2 linked regions of the Sus scrofa genome follow. The protein of the gene in region 1 interacts with the protein of each later gene in a pairwise test. Links are inferred from orthologs where the notes say so. Each region holds a gene or a part of one and is shown in the gene's direction. Other genes may lie near its edges.

The links.
Region 2: the proteins of DCX (region 1) and ZBTB5 interact in binary tests that used the Homo sapiens proteins (3 or more experiments, as listed by UniProt). The two-hybrid records come from large-scale screens. The link is inferred for Sus scrofa from reciprocal best matches to the Homo sapiens genes DCX and ZBTB5.

The regions. Positions count from the first base shown.
Region 1 is NC_010461.5:91,442,067-91,445,577, reverse strand, and holds part of DCX (neuronal migration protein doublecortin), read left to right. Parts: exon of another isoform or gene 1-1,351; intron 1,352-1,369; exon of another isoform or gene 1,370-1,551; intron 1,552-1,592; exon of another isoform or gene 1,593-1,870; intron 1,871-3,276; 5' UTR 3,277-3,298; coding exon 3,299-3,511. UniProt on the Homo sapiens protein: Microtubule-associated protein required for initial steps of neuronal dispersion and cortex lamination during cerebral cortex development. May act by competing with the putative neuronal protein kinase DCLK1 in binding to a target protein.
Region 2 is NC_010443.5:238,174,410-238,178,528, reverse strand, and holds the start of ZBTB5 (zinc finger and BTB domain-containing protein 5), read left to right. Parts: upstream 1-1,314; 5' UTR 1,315-1,900; coding exon 1,901-1,908; intron 1,909-1,915; exon of another isoform or gene 1,916-4,119. UniProt on the Homo sapiens protein: May be involved in transcriptional regulation.

The DNA.
Region 1 (3,511 bases):
TTGACCTGAATAACCTTGCATTTTCAAGAGGTGGCCACAAGGTAGGGCAGAAACAAATGAAGAAGATGGGGCAGGCACATGTTGTCCCCTGAGGTACTCATTTAGAAACCGTGAGAGCAGCAAAATGTTGGGAGAACTTGACTTCGCAGGTTGCACACTTGACACTGACCACCCCAGTAACATAGATAGCTTAGACTTTGCTAAGCCATCACCTTCCAGAGGAAAAAAAATCATGTTTTTATCCTACTTTGAGGCAGCTTACAGTAAAACATGAGCATAGCGAGTGCTTAACTATAAATCATCTAGCATTATATCTAAAAAGGAGGGTTAATTATACTAGGAATCGGATAGAAGATAATTCATGTTCATGCTATTAGCTTTGAGCTTCCTGAAAGCCAAGCAAAAATGGCACCATGATAGTTCAAAGTTGCTACATATTAATGCATGTAGCCTCAGTTGTGAAGATGGTAGCCACCCCCACAGGAGTTTCTCAACCTTTTCTTTTGTCTTATAGTTTGGCCTGCTTTCTTGAATTCAATATGGTTGCCTCCTTTATAACATATTTGATATAAAGAAGCCAATTAGTAACAAATAGGCAGTTTGAGTTGATAGCTGTTAATGTCTGTTTTGTAGCCATCACATGGAAATGTCTCTAGGTTAGATCTGAACTCTTCGACTCTTGAAGGTAAATGCTGCAGATCCCACTGACAAAATTACTACACCAAGCTAAGAGATCTTTGGGATCCTTCTTCAACATCATCTTCCATGAAATTCTGGAACGATTTTCCCTTGTCTCTTTCCTACTCCCTCTTAGTCTACTCCACTAACCTTATTTCACAAGAACCAGTTGTTGAATGCATGAACTAAAACGCCCTAAAGAATTTGCATATTTGGTCGTTCTTCTCTCAAGAAGGTGAAAGGAAGAGAGCTACCATTGCTAAGAAGCCTGGTTCGAGTGTCTGAGTCTAGCCCCCAGGCAGATGAAGCCAAGGTTTTGGCCAAGTGAAATTGCCAATTCCCTAAAAGAAAAGGCTAGTACATTGCTGGTTGTAGCATTCTGAACTTGCCTGTGCAATCTTTTTGCTACCCTGCAATTTCCTGTTGGTTATAAATGAAACCTTTCTAGCTATTAATGCAGCCTGTGAATTGAAAGAAAAGCATGTAATTAATCAAAGGAGGTTGGGGGGATTCACTAAGCCTGAGTTATAGGGGAGAAGCTGGACAAGGCACTAGGACCTAGAAGGCATCTATCCACCCTGGCAGGAATTTCTTGCTTGGAGCTCAGACAACAAAGGCATAGAGAGATTGGTTTTCTTTCTCTCAGCATCTCCACCCAACCAGCAGAAAACCGGTGAGTGGGGCTTTCGAGTGATTTTCAGGCAGAATGTAACAGATGTCAAACGGGAAAGCACAAGGCAAAGCACTCTCTCTCCTTCTCTCTGTGTGTTCTCTCTCCCTCTCTCTCTCTCTCCCCACCCCCCAACCCTTTTTCCCCCCTTATTCTATCGGAGTTTTTCCCTAAGCCTCTACCTGGGATTTTGCTTTGGAAAAGTGAGTTTGATGTTCCTTTGTTTTCACTGTGATGTCGATTTAGAATAATACAACCCCAGATTCTAAAGCAGAGCCCAGCGTTGCTCGCTCGTCCGGGGAAATGCTTGCTACTTGTCTTGAGGAGGTGGGGTCTTTTACGCTGCAGGTTGTCTGACAGAGACAATGCTGAGCTCAGCACAGGTCATGGTGACATTGGAAGATTAGAGGGACCGAGCCTGGTAAATCTACTAGGCACCAGTCCTCCTTTATCTCCTGTCCTCCTGGTCCCTTGCAAATATCTCAATGTGGCAGTGTGTAGCAGCTGAGCCCTGCTTGCTTTGTGAGTCCTTTTATCCCCATCTGTGTGATGCATGTTAATAGTTTGTTTCCGAGGCTGTCACTACCTTGGCTAGCCTTTGGGGCTTCTGTTGTATTTGGTTTCATAGTGTGATCTATCTATCTACCTTTTCTTTCTTTCTTTCTTTCTTTCTTTCTTTCTTTCTTTCTTTCTTTCTTTCTTTCTTTCTTTCTTTTCTTTTCTTTTCTTTTCTTTCTTCCTTTCCTTTCCTTTCCTTTCCTTTCCTTTCCTTTCCTTTCCTTTCCTTTCCTTTCCCTCCTTCATTCCTTCCTTCCTTCTTTCTTTCTTTCTGCAAAAAGGGGGAAATCAAATCTGATAGACAACCATCTTTTGCCTCAGTAACACACCTGGGAAATAGACAAATTTGGGGTGAATTTCCTGCTGTGAGGGCAAAATGACCCTTCATTCAGGATAGAAACCCAGAACAATGAAAGGTGTGCTTGCTTCTAAAGGTCCCATATGCTGTCCAGGGACTCATTTGGGAATCTTTCAACAATTAAATTATTCCATTAAGAGGTGGGGCTGCATCATTGTGGAAGTGGCGGCGGGGGGGGGGGGAGGTAGACCACCTAGGAAAAGGTGGGGGAGGGAGATTTTGTGACCAAATGGTACCAGGGGTGAAGCAGAACTAATAATTTGCTAAATAACTGATTTTTCTAATCCTTTTTTTCCAGCTTATTTCTTATGAATGTTGGATAGCTGCACCAGCTTGGTGGGGAAAGGGTTGATGAATAGCACAAAGACTCTGGCTATTCCCTAGAGGCTGTCCCTTTAAAAGAGAATCCCAGTTTATTCTGGGGGGAGGGGATGCACACATTAGAGCAGGAGAGAGGGTTTGGATTAAAATTAAAACATTCCCCTTCCTAGTCATTTTACTGAGGTGCAAAGATTGCTTCCCCAGCCAGAGATGCTAACCTTGGCTAGGTCCTTCTGTTCTCTTCAAGGAGAATTTTGTCAGGCTATGGATTCATTTACAACTGTTAGTCATGTGGGCATGTGTGAAGAAACAGATGCCAGTTTTAATGTATTTAGCCTGAAGTTACAATTTGATAGGAGCCACTGTCAGTAGGATTTTAAGCTATTTCAAAATCCCTCCCTCGCCTCTGTTTGGAACAGCGCCCAAAGTGCCTCCCTCCCTATTGCTCACCCCAACCCCCCAGCCACCAGCACCCCCAGCCCCTCCTTCTTCTCTATTAAGATCAATATTCCTGCAGGTCAGGGGCAAGCAGCAGATGGGTCACGGGCTTTTTTCAACCAGTTCTTTTCACAAGCAGCAGATTGCAGATCTGGATCTGGCTAATATTTGAATTCCTTTCTCCCTCCCCCCTCCACTCCTCACCCCTTTTTCTTTGCTTTTTTTCATCCCCACCCTTTTCTCCAACACTCAGGTCTCTGAGGTTCCACCAAAATATGGAACTTGATTTTGGACATTTTGACGAAAGAGATAAGACATCCAGGAACATGCGAGGCTCACGGATGAATGGGCTGCCCAGCCCCACTCACAGCGCCCATTGTAGCTTCTACCGAACCCGAACCTTGCAGGCACTGAGCAACGAGAAGAAAGCCAAGAAGGTACGTTTCTACCGCAATGGGGACCGCTACTTCAAGGGCATTGTGTACGCT
Region 2 (4,119 bases), on another chromosome or scaffold:
CCCTTACACTTCCCGTCGGGGAAGGCCCCTCCCAGGCTTCCTTGCCTCCTCTTCACCCAGGGAAAGAGAGCTTCTTTCTGCCCCAGGGCCCGGTGCCCTCGGAAGCCCTCCAGCCAGTGTCCCTCAGAGCTTGGCCTCTCCATCCGAGCGTGCACCTGGAGGTCTGGAAGCCACCCGGAGCTTACTCTTTTCTGAGAGCGTCACTTCGAAGTCCGCCACCCTTCCACATTCCCAATGCTGTTCTTTAGAGGTTTGGTTCTGGAGACTGCAGGCTTATTTGACCTGCGGCAGGTAATGCAGAGCAAAGTGCCAGTGGGGAGCCGGGAGGCACCAGCGCTTCGAGACGCTGGCACCTAGATTGGACGTAGGGCTGCGTCGGACCCAACTTCTGTGAGATGAACAGAATTTTTGGTTCAACATCTTTAGCTTGGATTTTGTCTTAATTCAACCTATATAGCTTCCTGAAATTATATTTTATTCCTTCCAAAGTCTACGAGATGGGAACTCAACCTCGGACACCGTGCGTGAGTGGGTCCCACGAAGGAAATTCGCATCCCATAGGGAGCCGGTGGTCACCGAAGTGCCGGGCGCCGAGAAGGTAGGGAAATCCTTCAAGTCCAGCCAGTGGTGGGACACACACTACCTCGCGGGCTCGCCTTACCCCTGGCTCAGACCAAAGGCAGTCGTGGTTGTGATTGGTGGAATTAGGAAAACCAGCTGGTCTCACCCACAATGGGCCTGGATTGGCCTCCACACTCAGTCGCTTTTCTACAGTCTAAATCTAGAACCGCTTAGTGATAAATCCCGCCTTCAAAGGCGTTTGATAACAGTTTTATGTGTTGTAAGGCAAACGGTGATTGGTCACAGAGCTCACGGATTCTGTCGGTAGTAAACACAGCGAGGCTCCTGGGACCGCGGATTGGTCAGTGTTCCGGGGGCCGAGTAAATTCCTCCAGATACCGCGCGCCGGCTGGCTGCACTTCTGTCCCGGCCCCGCCCTCTCCCCTTCTGATTGGTTGCACCCCTGCCGGAGGGGACGAGAAATGCCGCGGAGTAGGCGATCTCGCGTTGCGTCACTTCCGTTTACTGTGTGCAGCCGCCGCGGTGTTCTCAAGAGTGCCGCGGCGAAGGGGTTGAAGGAGCTGGGCAACAAGAGGCGGGGTGGACGGAAGAGGGAGGAAATCCCATCACCGAGGAGCCAGCCTGGACGTTCCGGTCTTCTGCCACACTGTCGGGTCGGATCGAAGAAGGGTCACCGCCTCCTCCAGCGAGAAGGGGGGCGGAGCCCGGCTCAGGTGAGGCGACTCTGTCAGCGGGAGCGGTGGTGGCGCGCGCTGGCGCGCTCACGTGGAGACAGTTGAGCTCTGGGGGAGCTGGGTGGGCGGCGCGATCAGGGTCTTGTCTAGGTGTCTGGGCGCGCGCCGAAGCGTACCGGTGCCCCCCCGCGTCTGCCCTGCCTGTCTTTCCTGAGGGTTATTGTTACCCTCAGAGCGGAGGGGCCAAGGCGGGTGGGAGGCGTGTTCTGCGCAGGCGTCCCCCGCGTCCCGACGCCAGGCTGTCTGTCCGCCGAGTGGGGCGGGGGCTCTTGCCCCCTCTGATCTGCGGGCGGGCTACGTTGGTTCCTGGGATCGCGTGGGAAAGACCAGCACCCTGGCAGGGTGAATAGAGAATCTGCGGAATGGGGTCGGGTGGCTTCCTTGCCCCTGTCCTGGGTCTCATTGAGCGACGAGGTTTCGTTTCACCAGAGCAAGGCCAAGGCGAGCTGGAATCGGGAACCGGCGGCTGAACCAGGAGGGGCGGAGCCAGTGTTTTGGAATGCCGCAACTAAAAGGACTAAAGTGTTTATAGGCATTTATTGAAAACCCACTGCTTCCAGGCTTCGTGCTAGGAGGTGTAGGGGATGCAGTGGTAAGAACAGTCTGTCCCCCTCCTCCCTTGTTTGGAGGACATACAGGTTTATGCATGTTAGGCAGTGAACTAAGGGGAGTTGAAGGTTAGTTTTTTTCCTTCCAAAAAGGTCATTTGCTATTAAGTCAGTCTGTATTCTGGCCTTGTGGACGATACTGTGGAAGCTAATTTCTGAATAGGACACAAATCCTGAATATTTAACTTGGCAAAAAATTTTTACATAAAGGCGCAGTAAAAGCTTCATTGCTAAGTGGTATACTTGGGTTCTGGGGTTAATTTTAATTAGTGGAAGTAAGAAACCTTTCACCTTCAGGAATTGAAGCAAAAATATTTCCAAAATGTGTTTCTATGCTTCTCTGTTTTAGTAGGTAGAAGATATGACATACATTGGGATCTTTTCTTTAGAGGTTGAAGAGAATGCTGTGCCTTACTCATCAATGATGATTTGTTGTCGTTATATAGGCTGTTGTGCCTTAGATAATTTTGAAAAGGTGGGCTGAATGCCTCATTTTCTGGAGAAACTGAATTCAGTGAAGTGCTATGATTTGGGTTGTGAGGATGGTAAGCTAAAAGATTAGCGGTGAGGGAAGAGAATTTTAAAGAAAAGCCCCTAAACCAAGGAAAGGCCTCCCACTATTGCTTTAACCCCCTCTGGAAATCCCAGGAAACTTGGGAAGACTGGCTGTGCCACCACTGCCAGCTTGGTGACCTGCCAGTTAAGACTTAACAGGTCGAGGACCTGTTCTGGTCTCTTGCGTTCTGCTAAATAAACAAACCAGGATTTTTTTTTTTTTTTTTTTTTTAAAGAGTCCTGAAGTCAACTTGTTTTTGGATTTGCCTTTTCTCTCCTAAAAGTTGTGTCAGGACAAGGTATAGTTAGCTGGAAATAGTTGCAGACCATATTCTGGCTATTTGAGGTGTTTAGCAAAATTCTGGAAGTGGTAAGATTTGCAAGAAAAGAATCTTAGAGTGGGATGTTTTCCTAAACTTAGGGTTCAGTGCTCTCAAAAGAGACTGTCACAAGAAGTTGAAGTCATTTTTAAAAAGTCACTTGGATACAAAATGTATGTAAATGTTTAGTATTTAAAGTACTTAACATGGGAGTTCCCATTGTGGCTCAGCAGTTAAGGAACCCGACTAGTACCCAGGAGGATGTGGGTTTGATCTTTCTCCTCAATCAGTGGGTTAAGGATCTGGCAATGCTGTGAGCTGTGGTATAGGTCGCAGATGTGGCTTGGTTCCTGAATTGCTGTGGTGTAGGCCAGCGGCTATAGCTCTAATTCAACCCTAGCCTGGGAACCTCCATATGCTGCAGATGCGGCCCTAAAAAGACAAAAATAAAATAAAAAATAAAGTACTTAGCATGAATTTTATTAAATTGAAGTTCTTTAGTGTGGGTAAGAGTTAAAACTATCTTACGTGTAGTGAGATATGAATCTGCCTCTATGGAAAGAGAAAAGAAAAACCCAAGATATTGATTCCATATTTGTTGTCACCTTTTATTTATTTTTAATGCAAATTTGTTGTAAACAAATATTTTCTTGTCTGTTGATTTTAAGCATATGAGTTCTCTTTTTCCTGTATTTAACATTTCTCAAATGTTGTCTAACAGAGCCAGATTTTGTAAGTGCAGCAGGTGGGCTGGAATGTAACACTACACTGAGCCTTTTGTCTACGGGTGAAGTCAACTTCTCATATGCTAAGAGACCAGCTGTTTCTGAGGGACTATTGCTCTTACAGTTGTTTTCATCATTTTTATCACTGAATAGTGGCTTTTAATCTCCAGACTCTATTTGGCGGTGGGGGATGGGGAGAGAGGGTGCCTTATTGTTTGATTAATTATACATCTATTTACTAAAAGCTCTATCTTTTTAAAAATTCTGTGGCTGCATCTGTAGCATATGGAAGGCCCCTGGCCAGGGATTGCATCCGAGCCACAGCTCCGACCTTCATGGCAATGCCAAATCCTTTTAAACCACTGCACCCAGCTGGGTATCAAACCCTTGCCGCCTCAGCCACCCGAGCTGCTGCAGCTGGAGTCTTAACTGCATAACGGCAGGAACTCCTAAAAGCTCTATCTTTCGGAAGCTCAAACTGATTAGGAATTGTGTTGGAGTGCTAACATTTTATTGTAATATAGATTATTGTCGTAGTATTGTAGTATTTAAGATTATTTTATCTGTAGATAATTTTCTTTGTGATATTCTAACA